3 linked regions of the Struthio camelus genome follow. The protein of the gene in region 3 interacts with the protein of the main gene of each other region in a biochemical or structural test. Links are inferred from orthologs where the notes say so. Each region holds a gene or a part of one and is shown on either strand. Other genes may lie near its edges.

Region 1 (7,199 bases), on a different chromosome or scaffold from region 3:
GGTGTGCGTGCTCAAAAGGGTGTGTGTGGTCACGTGGGGGCTGTGCATGCACACGGGTGTATGCGTGAGTGTGTGCTCACATGCGTGCTTGTGTGTGCACGGGGGGTGTGTGTGAATAGAGGTTTATGTGTGTGTTCACAGGGGTGTGCATGCACGTGGGGGTGCTCGCGTGGGGGCACGTGCTCACGGGTGGGTGGGTGTGCGTGCACGGGGTGGGTGTGCGTGCATACAGGAGTGTGTGTGCACAGGAGTGTGTGTGCACGCAGGTATGTGGGTTGGTGCACAGGGGTGTATGCGCACATGGTGTATGCGCAGGGACTCAGGGCTGGGTGGGCACTCGTGGGGTGTGCTTGCACACCGGTGTGTGCATGCACGCAGAGGCCTGGGGGGGTGTGCGCATGGGGGGGGTGTGTGCACAGGGGTCTGCGTGTGCTCGTGCACAGGGGGGTGTGCATGCACATAGGAGTTTGTGCGTGTGTGTGCGCAGGGGTTTGTGTGTGTGTGCACATGGGTGCGTGTGTGCACATGGGTAGTGTGTGTGTGCACAGGGGCCTGCGTGTGCTCGTGCACATGGGGGTGTGCATGCACACAGGGGGCTGTGTGTGTGTGTGTGTGTGTGCGCTTGTGCACAGGGGGGTGTGCATGCACACAGGGGTTTGCGTGTGTGTGAGCATGCACATGGGTAGTGTGTGTGTGCACAGGGGTCTGCGTGTGCTCGTGCACATGGGGGTGTGCATGCACACAGGCGGCTGTGTGTGTGTGTGCGCTTGTGCACAGGGGTGTGTGCATGCACACTGGGGTTTGTGTGTGTGTGTGCACATGGGTGCGTGCGTGTGTGCACATGGGTAGTGTGTGTGTGCACAGGGGCCTGCGTGTGCTCGTGCACATGGGGGTGTGCATGCACGCAAGTGTTTGCGTGGGGGGGTGCGTGCGTACAGGGGTGTGTGTGTGTGCGTGTGTGTGTGTGCACACATGGGGGGTGTGCACAGGGGTGTGCGTATGCTTGTGCCCATGGGCGTGTGCATGCACACAAGTGTTTGCGTGCACGCATGGGGGGGGGTGCGTGCGTACAGTCGTGTGCGTGGGTGTGTGTGCACCCGTGCACGCGGGGGGCGCGTGATTGTGCACACAGCGCTGGCTTTGGGGGGGGGGGGGGCGCTCGCTCTCCCGGAGAGGAGGGGCGGGGGGGGGGGGGGGGGGCGCTGTGCGTGCACGCACCCGGGCCGCGTGTGTGCGCATGCACGGCTGCCTGCGCGCGGGGGCGCGCGTGTGCGTGTCCGCCCTCCCCAACGGAACCTCCACGCCGCGCGGGTGGGTGGCTGCGCGCCCCCGCGTGCGTGTCCGCGGCCCGCCCCGCCCGCGCCGCGCCGCTCGGGGGCGGGCGGAGGCGGCCGCGCCGCGCCGCGGGGCTGCGCTCTGCAGCGCCGAGCCGAGCCGGGCCGAGCCGAGCCGGGACAGCCGAGCCGAGCCGGGCCGGACCGGGACAGCCGAGCCGAGCCGGGACAGCCGAGCCGAGCCGAGCCGGGCCGAGCCGGGACAGCCGAGCCGAGCCGAGCCGGACCGGGACAGCCGAGCCGAGCCGAGCCGAGCCGAGCCGGGACAGCCGAGCCGGGCCGAGCCGGGACAGCGGCGCCGAGCGGAGCCGAGCCGAGCCGGGCCGAGCCGGGACAGCGGCGCCGAGCGGAGCCGAGCGGAGCCGAACCGAGCGGAGCCGAGCCGAGCCGATCCGGACCGGGACAGCCGAGCGGAGCCGAGCGGAGCCGAGCGGAGCGGAGCCGAACCGAGCCGAGCCGGACCGGGCCAGCCGAGCGGAGCGGAGCCGGACCGGGCGCAGCTGCCGCCCAGTAATTTTCCAAGCTCGGGCCGGCGCTGCCCTGCGAGCGGCCGCGATCCGCGGGGGCCATGGGAGACAAAGGCACCCGGTGAGTGCGGGGGTCGGGGGCCGGGGGGGGCGGCGGGGAGGCGCCGGCAGGGGCCGCGCCGCTTTCCCACGCCGCCGCTTATGCGCAGGGGAAACTGAGGCACGGCGACGCGGGGTCGCACGGTGCCGGCGGCCGCGGTCAAGGCGGAAACGGCTGCGCTTCCCTCGAGCGGGGCTGCGGGCTGCCCTGGTCCCCGTGTGCCCCCCCTAGGTCCCCCCCCACCCCGCGTCGGTGGCGCTCGGGGCGCGCTGCCCGCCGTGGGAACGGCGGCGCCGGCCGCCCCTCCCCGTGCGCTCGGGCCCGCAGCCTGCTGCTCCGAGCAGCCGCCTCGCCTGCCACATCTGGAGGCTGTCGGCGTGCTGGAGGCGGCAGCTCTCGCCTGCGCGCAAACCCCCCTTTCCTGAAACGCAGCTGCAGCTGGGGAGGGGCGAGGGATGCAGCTGGCAGGGCTGCTGCAAGAGCCGCTTTTGTCGCAGCCCGGGGGCCTCATCCGGCAGCCCCGAGGGGCGGCGGGGAGCAGAGGCGGGAGCCCCCGGGCTGGGCGTGAGGGCAGCGCCCGCTCTCGCGGCGTCGAGCACGCGAGCCGCGGGGCAGGCCGCCGCCGCGCCTTTCGGGAGCGCGTCGGGGGGGTTGCGCGACCCCGATGGGGCGTCGCGCGTCCCGGGAGCGCTGGGCCGAGCCCGGTGCCCGCTGGGCGCTGCGCCTAGAGGCATCGGCGACGCGGACGTTATTACTCTCTTTCACCCGGACCCGGCGCCTGGACGTTGCTGGGGTGGGGGCACACGAGCCGTCGCTGCTGAGAAACGCTTTTGCTTTTGGGTTCGGGTGGGAACCAGGAGCAACCGGGCCCCGTTGTCCTGGTCGAGGGGTGTTTTGGGCCTGGAGGTCTGGCGGGGGGGGGGACGTGGGGGAGCCGTCGTGCCCGTTGTCACCCTGCGGGGCTTCGAGCATCCTGCGGATGGGAGACCCTGCCTGGCCTGGGCCCTGGCTAGGGGCGCGCGTCGATGCGGCGAACGCGCGTGCGGGGGCGCCCGTCGCGCACCGCCGGCGTCGGCTGCCCGGGCGGCCGGGCCCCGAGGCCGAGGTGGGCAGGGAGGGTGGGCCCCGCTTTTGCAAGGGTTTGGGCCCCGCTTTTGCAAGGGTTTGGCCAACCTCTTTGCAGAACCTTCCGGAAAGGCTGCATGGATGTGGGGTCGCAGGACGTGATTTGGGGGCCGGATGCGCCCGGCTCTGGCTGTCTCCCCTTGCCCTGGCATCAGTTTTTTTCCGGAAAAAAAGTATGTTTTAGCCTCTAGAGCGTGAGAACAGCCCCTTCGCCCCCCACGGTGGCCGGCCAGCGGCTCGCGGGGGTCCCCGCTGCCGGCCTTCGAAGGAGCCCGCCGGGGATGGGGCGAACATCCGCATCGCGTTGCCCCGGGGAGCGCCGGTGCGAGGGTTTCCCGGGAGCCGCGGGGCGTCTGCCGGAGCAGACGAGGGCGCGCGGGGATTCGCGTGACAGATCTCTTCTCATTCACCCGGGGGGGGGGGGCTTTGGTTCCCCCCCCCCCCCCCAAAAAGCCCGGGAGCCGGCGCGGAGGGCGGCCGGGTCGGCTGCGGCTTTGCACGGCGAGGTCGCGGGCTTGCAGAGCCCCGGTTTGCTTTTAGACTCCGGAAACACCCGAAAAACCTCATTTCTTCCAATTCCTTCGTGGGCTTGCAGGGCCGCAGAGCCGCGCGCTGGGCCGCCTCCGTTGCGGGGGGGGGGGGGGAACAGCAAGTTTTCAGCTGGCTCGGGCGGCGGGGCCGCAGCGTTTCGCACGCGCGGCCGCGCTGAACGTCGCCCGTGCCGCCGGCGTGAGGGTTTCCCTGCCCGCGGGCGGCGGGTGCCCCCGGGGCCGGCGCGGGCGTCAGCGCACCGCGTTTCCCAGCCGCCTGCCGAGCGCCCTTCAAAGCCCTGCGCTGCGGGAAGCGTCCGCAGGCGGAGTGAGAGCCGTGCGCTCGCCGGCGCCGCCGCGTCGCCCCCTTATTTACGGCTTCTCCGAGGGTGCGACCCCCCCCCCCCCCCCAAATCCCGGCCTGGATGCTGCCGACAGAGCCGAGGCGGCCGCGGGAACGGGCCGGGGAGGGGGGGCGCCGAGGCGGGCCGAGCTGTCCGGGCTGCGGCGGGGAGAGAGGCAGCGCTGGCCGCTGGCCCGGGGGGAGACTCGTGCTTCCTGGCCTTTGTTTGCAGAACAAACTCTCCTAATAACAGCAGGATGCAGACATCCCGGATCCGAGAGCCAAGTCGCTTCCTTGCCAAGGAGGCCCGGAGCGAGGAGCTGCTTGGGCCCGGCCGGGCGATGTTGTCGACGAGCTGGTCGCGGGAAACGTGTTGCGACGGGGTGGGCGTCAGGCGGGGCAGGCGAGCGAAGGGCAGCGCGGGAAGGGCCGGCAGCGAGGGGGTCCTGGCCGCTGCTCCGCGCGGGCAGCTGCGGATGTGCGGCTGCAGGTGTGCCCGGGCCGAGGGCCAGCGCGGTTCCCGCGGTGGCGGGGGTGGTTCCCGCGGTGGCGGCAGTGGTTCCCGTGGTGGTGGCAGCGGTTCCCGTGGTCGCAGTGGTGGTTCCCGTGGTCGCGCTGGTTCTTGCAGTGGCAGCAGTTCCCATGGTGGCGGCGGTGGCAGTTCCCGCGGCGGCGGCGGTTCCCGCGGTCGTGGCAGTTCCCGTGCTGGCGGCGGTGGCAGTTCCCGCGGCGGCAGTGGTTCCCGCGGTCATGGCAGTTCCCATGGTGGCGGTGGCGGCGGTTCCCGCGGTGGCGGCGGTTCCCGCGGTCGTGGCAGTTCCCATGGTGGCGGCGGTGGCGGTTCCCGCGGTCGTGGCAGTTCCCGTGGTGGCGGCGGTGGTTCCCGCGGCGGTTCCTGCGCGCCGCCCTGCTCGGCCCCGTTTCCCGTGGCAGGAGCGCGGCCACCAGCGCCGATAATTAATAGGGAGGAGGAAATAGCGGGGTGGGAAGCGCTGGCCGATTCGATTCACCCAGCCTCGGGCAGGCACGTGGCCGTCGACCCGGCGCCCGAGCCGGGGGATTTCTCCTTTCCTCCCGGCTCGGCCGAGCGTCGGGCGCGGGAAACCCCCGGAGGAGAGGGATCGCCGGCTTTTGGCGCGGGGCGACGGCGTCCGGGACGCGGGGGAGCGACGAGCCGCGTGGCCCCGCGCGCGGCGGCGGCTCTTCCCGCGCGCCCGGCCGGATGCTGGCCTGACCGCGGAGCGCGCGGTGCGGTTGCTCGACGCGTTGTCCCCCGAGGTCCCCTCTCGGGCCGCGGAGCTAATGGGATCGAGCCGGCAGCCACATTAACATGAGGCCTGGTGAAACTCGCTCCTCTGCCCGGCGTTCAGGGGAAATCGATGGCGTTGCTTTCCTGCTCCAGCTTCGCCACGCTTTAAAAAAATAAAAGGACCCGGGGTGGGGGGCCGATAGCGGGGGCGCCTGGCGTTTGCAGCCGCCTCTCACGTCCCCCAGGGATGGGGACGGAGAGGGGCAATGCCAGGCGCCCGCGGCCACGCTGACGTCCCTCGTGCAGCTTAACCCGGGGTTCGGTTACGAAACGGGGCAGCTGAGCTGCAAGAGCAGGTCTTTGTGCGCCTGTCGAAGGGGCGGCCGAGGTCACTGCGGCCTCCGCCGGTGACCGGAGCCGGCGGCCCGCGCGCCGTGCTGGGCGCTGCCTGCGGCCTCGCTGCAGCCTGGCTCCGGGCTGGCGCTCGGCGCTGCCCCGTCTCTGCCCAGGCTCCCTGGGCGCCTTGCGGAGGCTCGGGCCGTCTCGGCGCGCCCTGCGAGGCAGAAACCTGCCCTTTCCGGGCCCTCAGGCAGCGCTTTGGGCAGCGCGGCCTTTGCGCGGCAGCTTGCGCGGCACCTGGTGCAACAGGGCCTTTGCACGGCACCTTGCGCGGCACCTGGTGCAACAGGGCCTTTGCACGGCACCTTGCACGGCACCTTGCACGGCACCTTGCGCAGCAGGGCCTTTGCACGGCACCTTGCACGGCACCTTGCGCAGCAGGGCCTTTGCACGGCACCTTGCACGGCACCTTGCACGGCACCTTGCGCAGCAGGGCCTTTGCACGGCACCTTGCACGGCACCTTGCGCAGCAGCGGTGCCGGGCAGCCCCTGGGCATGCCGCGGCGCTGGCGGGGGCCCCGCGCTCCAGGACCCCCCCTCGGCGAGAGCTCTGCCCGGCGGCGGCTCGCTGGGCTGCCGTCGCGCCCCTCGGACTGGGCGCGCGCCCAGCCGTGCCGCGCTGGGGGGGGGGGAGCGCGGGGCCGCCAGCCCCCTGTTTCGCCGACGTTTCTAGGAGAGGCTGCGCGGCGGGGGGAGCTGGCCCGGGCACCTCGCTCCTCCGTGCCTCGGTTTCCCCGCTAAGGCGCCTTCCCCTCTCCTCTTTTGCAGGGTGTTCAAGAAAGCCAGCCCCAACGGGAAGGTGAGCGGGGGCCGCGGGGGTCCGGGGGGGCGCTGGGGTCCCACCGCTGCTGGAGCCTGGACCGCACGGGGGCTGCCGGGGCGGTGGGGGGGAGATGGGGGGTGATGGGGGGGGTCTGCATTTCTCTGCCGTCCTCGATTTTTCTTTGCGCTCGGAGCTGGACGTCGCTCCGAGACCCTTTCTGGGCTGTCGGACATGTACGGCCGGGGAGGGAGGGAGGGAGGGAGGGAAGGAAAGGAGGAGAAGGAGGGAGGGATGGACGAAGGGAAGCACAGAGGAAAGGAAGGGAGAGAGCGAGGGAGGGAGAAGGGAAGGGAAGAGGAAGAGGAGGGAAGAAGGGAAAGAGAAAGAAGAAGGGAGGAAGGGAGAGAGGGAGGGAAGGAGGGAGGGAGATGGGAAGGAGGGAGGAAGGCAAGGAGGGAGATGGAAAGGAAAGAGGAAGGAAGGGAGAAAAGAGGGAGGGCGGAAGGAAGGGAAGGAGGAAGGAAGATGGGAAGGAGGGAGGAAGGAGCAGCCGCTTCGCCGGGCGGCAGATCCCTCCGGGAAGGGTTCGCTCCCGCTCTCCGTCCCCGCGGGAGCCTCCGGGCAGGCGGAGGAAAAACCCCGGCCCGGTCCGGAGGGCGCGATGGCGGGCTGCTGCCGGGCTGGGGGCTAACGAGCTCCGGGCGGGATTGCCGGGGCCGGGCGGCGGGACGCAAACCGGATTTGCGCGACTCGCCCCCTGGCCTGAGCCCCGCAGCCGTGTGACGAGCGCGTGGGGTCTCTGCACGCGCCGCCAACCTGCCCGATGCCGGACACCCAGCGCCTCGAAAAACGCCTAAATCTGCCCCAAAAGGGGCCGGTGCAAAGAGCG
Region 2 (7,708 bases), on a different chromosome or scaffold from region 3:
AGAAGGAAAAAACAACAACAAAACCTGAGAACTGTAATAGGCTAACTTATTCAAGAACAGCATGAGCCCCCCTCCTCCCACTTCTCTCCCTCGCTCTCCTCCTAAGCAGTAGTAAATCGTTCTGTTGCTGTATGTTCTGAGCAAGCGTACAGCCATAGGCTGGGTGCCCTATGGCAGCTAACATCCATTCTAGTTCATCAACAAGTTCTTCCTTGTCTCTTAGCATAAGCCCAGATTCCCTCCTCCTCACCTCATACCAGTCTCTAGCCACTTCTTAAAGAACTGCAGTTTGCTGCCGCCTTACTGCTAGTAATCTTATAGAAATCGGTGCGAGAAAAACCAGTTCATGAAACAAACTGTCTGTATTTGACACAAGAAACATCTGATGGGTAAGGGCCAGGCACCAGAATCATCATCTTCTGAAATCCAGAAGAACTGCTCACTTTCGCACTCGGACGCGAGTTTCTTCATTCACTGCACTTACTCCTCCTTGCTTCTAAGATTCAATAGAAACTTTTGCTAACTACTCTCACTTCTCCTTTTACTTTCCAAAAGTTTTTTCCAACTACTCTCTCACTTCCTTTTATCCACTGTGGGTCTCATCTTTTTATCTTACTGTCATCAGACATTCTATTCTGATTATTGTTTTGAAGTCAAGTTCTGTAGCTATTTACTGACAATTCATTTCCATGTAATAGAAACTTGTTATTGGCCTGCTAGCCTTTACCCTTTAGCATTTGCTACCTCAAATGAATGAGCTCTGTTCCCTGTCAGAATTGAGTAGGTGTTGGGAAGACTTTAGGATTTCAGAATCAAAGTCTGCTCCTTTATATATACATATAAGCAGCTGATTTTGAACCTAAGTTTTTGCATATATCCCATTCCTAATTTTATTGGTCTCAATACTTCCTCTAGCAAAATAAATTGCACAAATGAAGTTCAGGAGTAGTAAACAGACAGCAGCAAAGTGCACGGAGAAAGACCAACTACTGTGAAGTACATACTGCATCTGTGTTTGTTTCCACTAGAGGAGTAGCAACTGAACTGTACTTTTGATCAGGAATTTCATATCAATTTAATCAGGAGAAACTGTTGCTGGTCCAGTCTGCGTTGATTAGGTTACGCTCGCTTTTGCGAGCGTTCCATTTCCCCGTCGCTTCTGATCAACGTAGCAATACAACGGCAAAACCGAGGCGTAAGTGAACCCACCAAATAATACGTGTGGCTCTTTCATACATCCACAAGGGAAAGAGAATAGTTCCCTCCCCAGCAAGAGGAGAAAACTGGATCATAAAACCGTAAACGCAAGAAGTGATTCAAGTCATAATACCTAAATCTACTATTAATCAACTCTGTGAGGAGGTGGGAATGACCTGTTTCATGTTTACCAACCTTCTTCCTGAAAATGAAGATCAAAGTCTGGATCTATTTATCCTAAACCATGGCTGAAGCATTGTCTCCATCTCCTTTTTTATACTTAAGAGCACTGAAAATAAGGTGGATATCCAAAAAATACAAGGGAAATCATGCGTGGATATTGATGGCCATTCAAAATACTTAAAATGGATAGTTTTACACTGACAGAGAAACATACCTCTTGATAACAGGTTTTGCTACATCTAATTATTATGACTGTTTTATTAAGGATATGAGTAACCTGTAAGTGGAATGACCATAGCCAGAACAACGCACAGAAGCAGTTATGTTGCAAGTAGCACACGCTAAGGCGGTCTGAACTGACATGGTAAGTACTGTGCACCCATCAATTCAGGTATGTAATAAAGTATTGCACTTATTTTTGTGTCCAAGACTTCAGCAAAGAAGTGGCTTTCTCACAGGCATGAAGTTTTTCAGTTCTTTTGCAATTAAGTTTTATTACTTGTATTCTGTACACAGGGGGTTGGTTTTCTTAATATCAGTATTAACCTAGAGATACAGCACTTAAACATGACTGCATCTTAAAATTCAATCAGTACATTTATCTCTGTGAGCCATATGCATTTCTTGCAGGCTCTCGTACTGTTAAAGCTACAGACCTCGGTCCTACAACTTAATGCGCAGAGGCAGATTATAATCGCTGGGGCCCCTCCTAGCGCGGCCAGCACGCTGCCCCGGAGCACCTAAACTTACGCCTGTTTGCTGGGTGCTGTCAGTCATCGTAGCAGTTGCACAGCGTGGGTCTGTCTTGGGCCACGTACCGTTTTGAAACGAACGACCTCCGCGGCAAAGCTTTGGGACCCCTCTCATAGCGTCGTAGCAAGATCGTTTCTGACAGCGTTTGCTGATCCAACAGTCAACAGTTCAACTAACACTGACTTCTGCGGGGTGGGGAGGAGGAGGGTAGTTCACGACGAAGTTATTTTAAAAGGTTAGGTTTTATAGGGGAAGTTTGAGAGTTAAGCAATCTACGTTTTTAAAAGAAAAAAAAAAGCAGCGTCACTTTATTTAGATTAAAAAGCTACTTGAAATCCGCCCAACGTGCACGAGCAGCGTAGGTAATGGAAAGCGGGGGAGGGGAAGGCGAGGTTTAACGCTCCTGCACGGTTACGAACAGGTTAAAGCCGGCTGGCAGCCCTGCGCCGCGCCAGGCCCGCGGTAACGGGCGCCGCGGCCCGGCGCCAGGCCACGGCCAGGGCTTCTCCGGCGCCGCGGCCCTCGGCGCGGGCACCGCTCCCGCCCCGCCCGCTCTTCCCCGGGGGCTGCGGGCTGCCCAAGGTCACCGCGGCGCGGCCGGGCCGCAGGGCTCGCGGCAGCGCCGGCACCCGCCGGGCCTCCGCGCAGCGCGGCGCGCCCTCGGCCGCCCCCGGCTCCGCTCCGCGCGGCGGCGCCGGGCCCGGGGCTCCCCCGCAAGGGCGCCCCCCCGGCCGCCCGCCTCCCGCCCGGCCTCCGCACTCCTCCCGCACTCACCGCGGCGGGATCGCGCTGCCTCAGCCCGCCGGCCCGCGGCAGGCCATGTCCGAGCGCGGCGGCCGAGGAGACGCTACGCGGCCATGGCTGCGGAGGCGGAACTCGGCGGCAGCGCCCGCCCCGGGCCGCCGCTCCCCCCGGGGGCGGGGACTCTCCGCCGCCCTGCGCGGGCGGGGGGATCGGCGGCGGCGCCGCCAGAGCGGCCGGGGGCGGGGCGGGGCGGGGCAGGGGAGCGCGACGGCGGCCGCACCTCACGCCTACCTCAGGGGCGGCAAGCGTGTGCCGGCCTGACCGTGCCGCGGGGTTTGAAACGCTGGGAGCAGCGAGGGGAGGGGGTGCTGCCGCGGCTGGTTCCCGTGGCGGTCGGTGGGGCGGGTCGGGTCGTCGAGATCTCACGCAGGCAGGAGGACGACGCGGTGTCCCGCCACGTTACCCGTCTTGCCCCTACCTGCCTAGCGGTGGGGGAATGTAACGAAGATACTGCAATCTGCTGCTCCGTTTTTGCGATCTGATCAATGTGTGCAAGGATCTAAAGGGAAGGTGTTAAGAGGATGGGGCCAGACCCTTCTCACTGGTGCCCAGCAACAGGACAAGCGGCAACGGGCACAAACTGAAACACAGGAAGTTCCGTCTGAACACGAGGAAAAACTTCTTTCCTGTGAGGGTGGCTGAACACTGGACCAGGTAGCCCAGAGAGGTGGTGGAGTCTCCTTCCCTGGAGATAATCAAAACCCGCCTGGACGCGATGCTGGACAACGTGCTCGAGGTGACCCTGCTTGAGCAGGGGGGTTGGACTAGGTGATCTCCAGAGGTCCCTCCCGACCTCAACCATTCTGTGATTCTGTGATTTTGCCAATGGAAAGATCTTGTGCACTGGAGCAGTTTCCCTTGGCCATTTATTGGTTTTTTTTTTTTTCAGTCTACCTTGTAGACTAGAGAAGATGGCCTGTTACCAGTATTTCACACGTTTACGTTTCTTGTTTCAGCATGCCTTTTAATAGTGTATCCTTGAAGCATGCTCAAGCTCAGATCACTTAATGCTTGCAGAGACTGGCAAAGTAATCCTTTGTGTGAAGTGTGCACATATACGGCATCCACAACATACCATTTTGCCATAACAATGGGTTACATACTGATACTGTAAGTATGATTTTAAAGATCCACAATAACGAAATATTAGCTGCGGATACTATTGCAGCATCTGTGAGGTTAGTGCTGTGCACCCCCTCAGCACTGCCGCCAAGCCCTGGGCGGTGCGATCTGCACTGCGTCTTTCCTTCAGCAGCGGAGGGGCAGAGATGATGGAGGTGGGCTGTGGTCTTTCCTGCAAAGTGCTGGGGCAGAACAGGGCCAGGGAAGAGCATCTGTGCTCAGAGAGGTGGGGAGAGAAGAGTGGGTGCTAACACCGTTTTGTGCTGCAGGATCCAGCATAGAATGAAGCTGGTGGGGAGATCCCCCTCTCCCTCAGGAAGAGCAGGTGGGCTGGGAAACTGAAGTTAACGAAGATGGACAGAAGGAGAAGGATGCTTGTCTTCATGTAACCCTCCAAAACTCTACAAAACTCTATTGAGTAATTGTCCAGAAGGCTGAATCGTATCACAATACTTCATGGTACTGTAATGCTGGTTGGTATCAGGTATCATGAAAGGCTCAAATAATATCCTCCATCTCTACTTTGCAGACCAGATATGCAAAAGCTCCTGGGACAAGTTAAGTACAGCTCTATGCCTTCTCCTATATTATGCATTCATAGAGATTAATATCAAAGTGAGTTGAAATATTCTAACAACATTCAACAGGATTGAATGCTATTAATAACACTATGGTCTTGTACAATACTTTTTTCAGAACTGCTCCAATTGTTTTAGGAGAGATCGGTAGGAAGTCATGCAAGAAAGTTATGATAGCAACAAGAAAAGATTTAAGTTCCCTGATGTCAAAGACTGCGTCCTAAGCGTGCAAATTAATGCTGAGTATCATACTAGCTGCTGTCCAAAATGGGCTCAGTGTCCCTTTTAATATTTAACTTATATGAAGGAATTGTGTCAGAAGGTCTTTTGGTCTTACTTGTACGGGCAAAACCAAACCATATATAGAAAGGTATCATGGAGGACCTGCCTATGCAATTAGTTTTACCTTATTCAAGAACTTGTTAGAACATGCTACTATGCTGACTGTGTTATAACATGCTGCCTTAGGTGTTGCCTTAGGTTGAAACACATTTTCCTATCAGCACATATGTTACTGTGTAGCAGTACCAAACAAATAAACAAAGGAATTTAAAACAGCAGAAATCAGAATGTGTTTGTTAGATTATTTGGTTAACAAGACCTAAAAATTATTCTCACATGACTGGATAAAATAAAGGAAAAGAAACAACATACTTCACAGATGCAAACTGTGTTTTGACTTGCCTATATTAGACATCAAATGTCTCTCTCTTAAATGTACTTTTGATGAATTCTGTCAAATGAAAATACCATTAGAGATTACTATTTCAAAGATGGACGTTGTACCCATGATAATGAAAACTCACATACGGTGTTAATGGAACTTTAACGAAATGTATACTGCATTCCTAACTCTATGAAAGATTTTCTGTGATACAGATAATTTCATTTTTTCCATACTACTGCAGCCAAGACCACAAAAAATTCCTGCTGGTTGCTGCACACCTGTGAGGACATAGTAACGTTTTCTGTATAATCAACTGCTACTGCGTAAATGACAACTCGTAATATGCCAGGGGAAATGCTTTTGTTTAGAGGCACAAAACACTTATCAATAATGGAAAAGAGATGTAATGAATTTTGGAGCTAAAGTTTCTTTACTCTGATGGCAAAAGCTGCAAGAACGAGGTTTCAACTTGTTTTTAGTGCCCCCTTCTGGCTGATCAGTCCTAGAAAAATAAGTAAACCGCCTCTCGGACATGTCAACAGGTCCCAGAGCGAGGTGACCTATAAAGGAGGATTTAACTGCCTTTCCAAAAAGCGTGTGGAGAATTCGTCCCGTTAACCTAACCCAAAGCAAGAAGTCCACGAGAACTGGACGGAGTCCTGTGGACACAGCGGGCAGCAGCGTGAGCACAGCCCGTACGCTCAGACAGGAGGCCTCAGTTCTCCCTCCCATGTAGGAGCAGGAAAAGTCAACTTGTTTCTGAACTTGGTGTGGGACAGTCTGTCCCGCACTAAACGGATCAGTTCCAGTGGTGAGTAGAGGATTCAGTCCTGTAGCATTTCTGAGGCAACGTTAGTTCTTTGCAAGCTCGTTATCTGCATTTTCTTTAAAGACATTTAGGGAAGTCAAGGGCAAAAAATAATGGCTATGAGCACATCGTTGTGACAAATATTCCCCTAATTATCTAGGTGGCCTGACCATCTCCAAAAACAACTAAAGGAGAGTTCTGTGACTGATCCCTTTCCTGAAGGATGTAGGTCAGGGGATCTACCCTTTACAGCAGTACTGGAGGCTGCCTGACACAATAGTTCTGTGGGGAATCCCAGCTCGAGCTTTTTGCAGCTTGGTTGAAAGAAATCTCAGAAAAACATTTCGTGCACTGAGGTTATCAGGATCGACGTGAGTTTGAGGTCAAGGCCAGCGCTGTTTGGCACAGGCAGGGGCAGTGATGGTTTAGGATCACTTGCGACTTGTCACCCACACCAGGTCCTGTCTTTATGACCCCAAAGCGTGGCTAAAAACCTTGCTCAGACAGGTCAGCCAGGGCAGCAGGGCCCGGGAGCACAGGCAGAGCCCCAGCAGCCACAGGGCAGTCAAAGCTGCCCCTGCGGCAAAAGGGAGCCTTAACAGGACCCCTTTTAAGGACTGGCAGGGCCCCCCCTTCCCTCTTTCGTAAACTGCTCGCAGGGAGGCTCCCGCCCTCCCCCGTGGCCCCGTGACAGCTCGCGGCCACCCGCCGCAGCCCCGTCAGGGCCGGCGGCAGGCGGCCAGCGCCCTGCCCCCCGCCGGGCGGGAAGCGCCACAGAACATGGCGGGCGCCTCCAGCCGCCGCTTCCCCCGCCTTTCCCGGCGCCGCCGCGCATGCGCGGCAGGCGGCGCCGAGGCCGTATCCCTCCGCCGAGCCCCTTTTGTCGGGGATATTTGTGTAATAAGATAATACCTGCGCCCCATGGTAAGTGCCGGCGCCCCGCCAAGCGCTGCCGGCGCGGCGGCCCCGCGCGGCCCCGCGCAGCCCGGCCCCGCTGGCGGCGGGGCAGCGCTGGGCTCGGCGCGCCCCTCCCCTCCGCCCGCCGTGTCCCTCCGCCAGGCGCAGCGGGGACTTTTGTGTGGGGCTTTTGGGCGCCGATGAGCGGCGGCCTCCGGCGCCCCTGGCTGTTGTCGCGGGCGGCGGCGGCCGGGCCGGCAGCACGGTAAGGCCCCCATCCCCGCGCCCCGTCTCTCCCCCACCCCCCCGGGCCGGCCAAGCTTTTCCAGGTCAGTCTGCGCCTTTGTATAGGGCCCTGTTACCGGATGTGGAAGTTGATCTCTTCGCTGGTAAAAAATAATTCCACTTCCCCCGGAACCCGGCGCCGCGGCTCCCTCCGCAGCGCCCAGCCCAGCCAGGATTTCCTGTCGGGGAGAGCGGGCGCGCTGGCCGGCCTTCCGGGGACCCCGCCGCGCGGGGGGCGCCGGCCGCGCCGCCGCCCGCCTGGGCCGCGCCGCGGGGCGCCGAGCGCGGCCTGCGCGGCGGAGGGGCCGCGCCGGGCGCGGGGGCGCCGCCGGGGCGCGGAGGCCGGCCGGGGCGAGGCGGGGGCCGCCGCCGCCGCCGCGGAGCTGCGTTGCCCCACGGCCCGGCCGGCGCGCT
Region 3 (7,547 bases):
AATATTCCTAAATAAGGTAGAAAGAGGGTTCAGATCACAAACAAATTATTTGGGCTTCATCCAGAGATGTGTACTCTTTGAAGATGACAATGGCTTACCATCTCAAATCTCTGGGCACCTTTACAACATTCGTTAATAGTGTTAGTTTAACCGCAGTCTTTAACAACACTCTTTTGCCAGCCACATCTACAGAAGAGGTATTCCCCCCCCTCCTTCAAAATCTCTGTACAAAGCTGACAGTAAATGGTAAGCTATCACGGATGACCAGCTTCCATACCATCAGCATGCTAACAGGACTGGGCAAATGCTGATGACTGGCCAGAGAGGCCAAGAAATTTCTCCTTCTGAACCTAGAGACACTTACACTCCTCAAACCAATTTAGTCCCAGATGAGTTCCTAGCAATCCATTGTCCTAAGCAATTCCAAAGTCATTTCCAGTTATTACACAGTGCTAATTGTCCAGTAGCTGAGAATACACAGCTATCACAGTAAAAATACTAACATCTACACCAATGTCCAGCTTCATACAACGAGATTAAGAACAGTTTTTGACTGCCTTCCTGCTTCAGGAATCTTGATTCTCATAGGAAAACTTTCTTGCTGAGCAAGAGCAAAAGCAGAGCACCCAAACTTTCATTCTGAGAAAGGAATTGAAAACACCGCCGCCGCAGGACAACTTTTTGAAGTTTTCCGAGAACACAAGAGCCTGCTCTACAGCTGATGTATCTTATGAAGCCTGCCAAGTTGTTCGTCGAGATAACAGCACGTTCCCAAGGGGCCTTGAGGAAGAAGGGCCTGGGGACTCTTTCCTGGAGACTTCATCGCTCCTATCTCCCTGGCACAAACACAGTCAAGCGATGAAAGAAGGCAGCAAGCCTCTGAAAGGAGGCTGCCACCAATCAAACAGTCTGCAGCTCCTTAGGTCTCCCTCAGGACCCCTAAGAAAAGGGGCTGCAATATAGCTGGAAGAAAGCTGTATTCATTCTTCGGGGAAAATCAACGCATTTGCTCACTATCTTCTCTTCCAAGAACAACATGGGACTAAGTAGTTATTTACTTGTGCTCATACGATACACAGAATAACGCTTTTGAAAAACGTCAGGTCTATTGGTGACTGGGCTAGGCAAGCACCGTAGCTAAGCTTACAGCACTGGCATTCTCTGCCACCAGAAAATAGTAAACAACCCATTCAAGTAACAGTTGGGTGCTACTACCCTGCATTACAAAACTTACAATGCTGACAAATATGATCTACCAGATTTAGCTCTATCTAAACCCACTCAAAGAGTCTGATCTTCACCGCTGCTAGACAGCTGCCTTAGAAATTAAAAGAGTAAACATTTACCAGATCTTCAGCTACCATTTTTTAGTCTGGTTTATTAATTCAAACCATTCTCACTGATAACCTTACCAATATGTCAATTCTCTAATGGTTCACAGAAAATTGGCAAGTCATGCAACCTCTTCCTCTTTCTCAGCTGACAAATTACACTAGAAGACAGCAGAAACATTAGGATAAAAAGATATATTACTTTTCAGAATAAGAAATTATTGACTTTACCACCAAGAAAGGTATAAACTAAAAGACAGCCTTCACCAGAAAAGATTGCAGTGTGCTTTACCATCCAAAATTGGAAGAAAAATGAGCTTTAAGTACGTGCTTTACTAAGATGCAAGATTCAGAATTCCTGCTAAAATAAATAAAAAATTTCAGTTTCATCTTCACTTATGCATAAGCTTCCCCCAAAAGATGCATGCTTTTAAAACATTTTTATTTTGAGGGGGTTTTGAGGAGCTAAAAGAATTAAACTGGAGCCCTGGCTTCTAAAGTAAAATAAATATTATGAAATGAATCACATATTTGTAATTAAAAGGTACAGCAGATACAAAATTATAAGGCTACCAATGAAATTGTTCCAAGAAACATATACAGTGTTACATTATTGAAAGGATATAAGTATGTGGGAGGAGGATTTATCCAAATAAGAGAAAACGCACCTCAATGTTATAATGTTCCCCAGAAAAAGTTTCTAGTTACATTTACAATAAAACAGAAGCAAGCATCAGGTAGGAGGTCAGCCATACTGCACAATCTCACATCAGACGGACAAAATAAATTTAAACCTGCTTATATGTTATTTTACTTTTGATCCAGATACATGTGCATTAAGCACAATTGTTGTCAAGTAGAAACCAGATATTTTGTCTCCATCTGGTTTGGCCCTGGAAGAAGTACGGTGGGGAGGAAACCCGATCACAGCATGTCAAGTTTCACTTGAAAGAGGGAGGAAAAAAAAAACCCTTCCGTGGAATTAATTTTAAAGCAGTAAACAGGCAACCCTTTGCCAATTCTTCCATGTTTGCTTTTGAAACAACTGTAGATGGGGCTTTTACTTGGCATCCTTCGGTAAGGCACCGCCATGAGCATTTCCTGCCAGTCCTGTTTTATCACGGCACAACGCAACTTCTGGGCAGCCCAGCCCGTCTCACCGGAGGCACCAGGCGGCCCGCAGAGCGCACAGGGCCGCGTTAGCCCAGGCCGCCCCGCGCCGACACCCACAGGCCGCAGCCGCCGCCGCCGCTGCCCGGGCCCCGCGGCGGCCCGGCCCGGCCCAGCCCGGCCCTGCTCGCTGCCGCCGGCCCGGCCCGGCCGCGCCGCCACACGCGGGAGGCGGGCGGGCGTGCGAGCGGGCGGCGGGCGCCGGCCGGGGCTGCCGGCAGCGGGGCGCGGCGCGGGGGCTGGGCAGCGGCGGCAGCCCCGGCCGGCCGGCCGGCGTGGGGGGGCGGGGGCCCCGGGCGGAGCAGGGGCCGGGGCCGGGGCAGGGCCAGGCGCGGGGCTACCCCGGGGGCGCCACTCACCCACATCCTGGTCGAAGGGGTTGGTGGCGAAGAGCGGCATCGCGGGGCGCGGCGGCGCGGGCGCGGGCCCCCGCTCCCCTCCCGGCAGCGGGCTGCAGCGGCGGCGGCGGCGGCGGCAGCTCCTGCTCCTCCTCCTCCTCCTCCTCCTCCCGCCCGGGGTACCTCCGCCGCCTCCTCGCAGGCCCGGGGAGCCAGCCCGCCCCGCGCGGCATGCTGGGAAAGCGGGGCCGGCCCCGCCGCCGCCACTGCTGCCGCCGCCCCGCGGCCCGGCGGGGGCGGCCCCGGCCCCGGCGCTTTGCGCGGCCCCGCCGCCCTCGGCAGGTGGGGCCCGGCCGGCCGCGCACCTCGCGGCGGGCGCCGGCGCCTCCCGTACCCTCCGCGCCGCCTCGTCCCGGCCCCGCTGCCCCCGGCAGGGCCGTTTCGGGGAGACAGGGCGAGTCAAATGGGGTTTGGGGGGTTTCTGTTTGTTTTTTTTTGGGGGGGGGTTGTTGTTTCTGCTGAGCTCTGTCATGCCTCCCCGGTTGGTAGGTGAGCCAGCGTCGTGCCCAGGCAAGCCTGATCTCTGTAGAAAAATTTCAGAGTTTTCCTGCACGTCGTGCTGACCTGGTGTTTGCATTGCTAATGTCAGCAGGCTTTTGAAATAAGTGACGTCTTACAAAGTTGCAAGCTGGTGGTTGTGATAGTGTTTCACAAGGTGGCATGGGACCATTGCGCTCGTGCGCAAGACTGACCACGTACTTACCAAAGGTCAGAGCGTGCTGAGATTAGGAACTAACAGCTGTCCGTAGAGCTTTAGTACCCCATGGCCTTGGGTTGCACGGTCTTGCTTCTTCACTTCATACAAATATCTTCACCAGCGTCGACAGAACTTCTCACGTGAGCAGAGTTTGACTCATAGACTATGACACGTTCTGCCTGTTCCTGGTACATAAAAGTCAGTCATTATCCTTAAGGGCTTTTAGTACTATTTAATTACTCTGGACTAACTGGGTAACAAGTTAAGCAAAAAGGTTGGGCCAGTGTGTGAGGGAAAAGTCAGAACATCTGGAAGAGCAGTATCAGCATATCCATCACAAACACACAAACAGGGATTGAAAAAAACACCACTGGTGTCTGCAGTGCAGAAACACGAGATGAAATCAATAGCAATAACAATGCTCAATAATGAATGTAATTGCATGCATTAGGCAGACTTTTGACACATTGAATGAAAACTACATATCAAGCCTCTTCCCGCAGGGACCTACAGTCATTAGGCGCTTCCTTTTTTGACTTAACAATTTTCCAGGACCTCAAGTTCTGCTTCTTTCCCTATCCGCAACAACTGTTTTCAGCAGTTGATGCAGCTCAGCATCGATCTGCTGCTTAAGAATTACTACTTTTAAGGAATTTGGTACTCCCCTTTTCTGGATTCTGCCTCAGTTCAAAGACCTTAGCGAGATATTCCCAGAGGATGCTTTACCTCCCCTTGGTTCATCATCCCCCCATTATGTCCACCCCAAAAGACACGTGGTGGAAGTTCTCAGAGCTTGTTTTAACCTCTCCTTTTTCATCCCTTCCCTCTGATGGGTTTCAAAATGAAATTGTAACAATCTTTCTAAAACAGGCACAGCTTTATATAGTAGTCCTGCAGTAAGAACAAGCATGTAAGACGCAAGGAACTTGGGCTTTAGATCTTCTTCAGCCAGAAAGAATCTCAACCCTGCTCTACTTTCCAGGCAAGCCACCGATTCAAGGTTATTCGATGTTATGAGAAGGGCAGACAGGACCGAGAGAGCATCTTAAGGCTCTTTAGTCTTAGCCCATGATTTGTTTCTGTAACATTATTTTCCCGCTTGAACACGCTCTCTACTTCCCTGGTGTAAAGTACACGACTCCCTTGGGTACTCTGCAATATGTCGTATATTCCTCTTTCCCTTGGCCCATGGCTTTTGCGTTCTGCCATAGTACAACAATGGGTGATGGTTCAAGCACTCTTCTGTCAAGTGTGGGTTTTGCCTTCTCAGAGAGTGAAGGCTATTGAAACCAGCTTTTCTACTTCATGTATGAGTAGTATAATTAGCATACTAATAAAAAAGGTGTGTCAAGCTTCCTTTATTGAATGTAGTTCAAAATGTTTGTATTATTTCCTACTGTATTTGAAATGGGACTCACGCTGCCTAATTTAGCTATCTAAAAGTAAAGAATCTAATCTAAGCGAAGTGTCTCAAATTGCATCTAATTCAGTGTAACTGCAGCTGATACAGAATAAAGCAGTAGTGCTCTCCCTGTGCCCACAACTATGTGCTGCCGCCACATTTCTTGTATTAGACTTGGAATTTGATCCAGTTCATTTGTGGCTGCATAATCAGCTGATCCAACTGAAAACTACTTCACTGCAGAAAAGTCCCCTATTGGATCATCTTACTGGTCTGACTCACCTTACAACTAGATCCCAGGCAAGGGAAGAGGTGGGAATGATTGCCTGGGGATAGTATACCGGCTTCACCAGAGTAGGTCAACAAAACCAGGCATCTCCAGGGGATGGATGATTCATCTGCTCTAATTCAGACATGTATCTGGAGATGCCCTCTGCAAAGGTCTGACTTTATTGATTTCATAGAGGAGCTTGTCTGCCCAACTTCAAAAGAGCTAAAATAACATTACATAAATTCCCAGTTTGGTACGTGTTTTCTGACTTAGGACCTGTCTCCAACAGCAAATTTAAAGTACTTAAATATATATATATATATATACACATGAATTTTCTCTAAACAAAAACAATCTCAGTTCATTGATCCATATAGATCCTTTTTTGGCACATTTCATCTTTCATATAGTACTGTTGTTCAGATACTGCCAAGTGATAGAGGCATATATTCAGTTAATTGCCAGTGCAGCTTACTCACTTCCTGGATTTTAAGGACATGACATACTTTTAAATTTGATTTCAATATGAGTCACTATCAAATAATTTGCCCCCGATATGCATTCAAGTCACCTCACAAGCTATATCTCACATTTACTGACAGTAGTAGCGATATTAGAAAATATTGCTTAAAAACTGTTTTTTTGTATGTAAAGATATTTCTGTAGGGAATGCTATGATACAAAGGGCGTTTGAAAGAGTTACATTTTTATGTAAAAATAAAAGGGGAGCAAAGTAATTTTTTCTCAGTATTTCCAATATTTTTGAACTTACTGTAGAGTGTATTTAGGGGATATGTCACAGTTTATTTAGTAACTCATGCAGAATTAGAATGGTTTTAAAAAGGATCACTCTATATACAGGGTAAGTATATGCAATACATGAATTGTCTGATTTAACCGCAGTGAAGGTCAAAGGCCCCTGGAAGTCAGTGTCACTGATAACATTCTAAAATCAGAAGCAGCAAAAGAAGTCTAGTTTCTTCTTTTTTGGCAAGACTGACAACATTTGCTAACAGAATATTTTTTGAAGATGAACACCTGTCCTCTGAGAAATTTATCAAAACCAACAACCTATTTCTTTAAGTCCACTGGATCTAATGCTGACAAAGCAATTGGGAAACTACATACAAAGATACCCTCAGTGATCATTTCTTTTAACTTTACTTTTTATTTTTACTCTATAAAGCAGGTAGCATTTTGATGTCTTAAGTAGCTGGAGGGGGGGTTGTTTATATAATTTCTCTATTTTGGTTTTCTTAAATTGTGACAACAGTTTGGTCATAAGATTAGTTCTTGATTCTGGTAATATACAACAAATCACTTGCCTATAGTATTCTAGAGGGAGAAGGGTGCTTGGAAACAGTAACTTGTAAATTGCAATCTGTTAGGGAAGTTCTAAGTCTGTTTTTTAAAACTGCTTAGTTGACTCATATCTGCATTAGACAAGCATATTTTTAGAGGAAGATAAAAACATTATGTCCACGGAGGGAAGGTCTACTGGAGCAGTTCGCTGGAGGAATATTATACTTGGCATCCCCATTTATTTTAGTGCATATTAGCAGTCTGAGTTTGCTAGCTGCTGCACTGCAAAGATTAGGTGTATAACCCAAAAGCCATGCCAATACACTGTTAGCAAGGAGGCAGACGTGAAGACCAACAGCTGTCTCGGGGATCTATCTCACTGGTCTCTATCTTAACTGCATTTTCATGGTAGTCCACTGCATACATTGCTTTTAGAACTAAAAGCTAGGCAGAAAAGAAAATCAAAGCAAAAGAGGAAGGTTCAGAATGGAGAAAGTGCCAGCAGTCCATTTAATCACAGTTCTCGTCTTTGACAGGGCCAGTACAAGATGTTTTGGAACGCATACAAGATTCCTTAATGCATAGTAATACAATGATATGGCTAAGGCAAATTTCTCCCAATCACAGGCAACATGTAGATGTTTTAAGCACTGAACTAAACTGTACTAAAGGGCATATCTCTGTTTTATCTCTTTAAGGTCTACTTCTGTCTTGATACGACTAAGTTAAATGCCTTAATATTTTCAAGTACCCAAGTTGCATAGCTTAATTGTGGTATTCTTACCCATTTCATTATATAAGAGAATATATTAAATGCATCAATTCAGTAAGTCGGGTGACCTGCATTATACAAGAAGTCAGGCTAAGATTATTTTAATTTTGCTTTTGGGTCTTAATATTTATGAATTATGCAAGTGGGATTATACGAAGCATATCGCCGTAGTTCCCTCAGATCCATGTAACCTGGGCTTTTTGC

Evidence for each region.
Region 1: the proteins of STAM (region 3) and ARRB1 form a complex in vitro, tested with the Homo sapiens proteins (2 studies listed by BioGRID). The link is inferred for Struthio camelus from reciprocal best matches to the Homo sapiens genes STAM and ARRB1.
Region 2: the proteins of STAM (region 3) and USP8 form a complex in vitro, tested with the Homo sapiens proteins (2 studies listed by BioGRID). The link is inferred for Struthio camelus from reciprocal best matches to the Homo sapiens genes STAM and USP8.

What each region holds. Positions count from the first base shown.
Region 1 is NC_090942.1:223,716,360-223,723,558, reverse strand, and holds the start of ARRB1 (beta-arrestin-1), read left to right. Parts: upstream 1-4,113; 5' UTR 4,114-4,156; coding exon 4,157-4,389; intron 4,390-6,315; coding exon 6,316-6,346; intron 6,347-7,199. UniProt on the Homo sapiens protein: Functions in regulating agonist-mediated G-protein coupled receptor (GPCR) signaling by mediating both receptor desensitization and resensitization processes.
Region 2 is NC_090953.1:12,457,645-12,465,352, reverse strand, and holds the start of USP8 (ubiquitin carboxyl-terminal hydrolase 8), read right to left. Parts: upstream 3,074-7,708; 5' UTR 2,908-3,073; intron 2,406-2,907; exon of another isoform or gene 2,131-2,405; intron 1-2,130. Other genes in the region: GABPB1 (GA-binding protein subunit beta-1), read left to right, coding at 7,034-7,036. UniProt on the Homo sapiens protein: Hydrolase that can remove conjugated ubiquitin from proteins and therefore plays an important regulatory role at the level of protein turnover by preventing degradation. Converts both 'Lys-48' an 'Lys-63'-linked ubiquitin chains.
Region 3 is NC_090943.1:23,830,090-23,837,636, forward strand, and holds the start of STAM (signal transducing adapter molecule 1), read right to left. Parts: upstream 3,006-7,547; 5' UTR 2,901-3,005; coding exon 2,861-2,900; intron 2,439-2,860; exon of another isoform or gene 2,430-2,438; coding exon of another isoform or gene 2,396-2,429; intron 1-2,395. UniProt on the Homo sapiens protein: Involved in intracellular signal transduction mediated by cytokines and growth factors. Upon IL-2 and GM-CSL stimulation, it plays a role in signaling leading to DNA synthesis and MYC induction. May also play a role in T-cell development.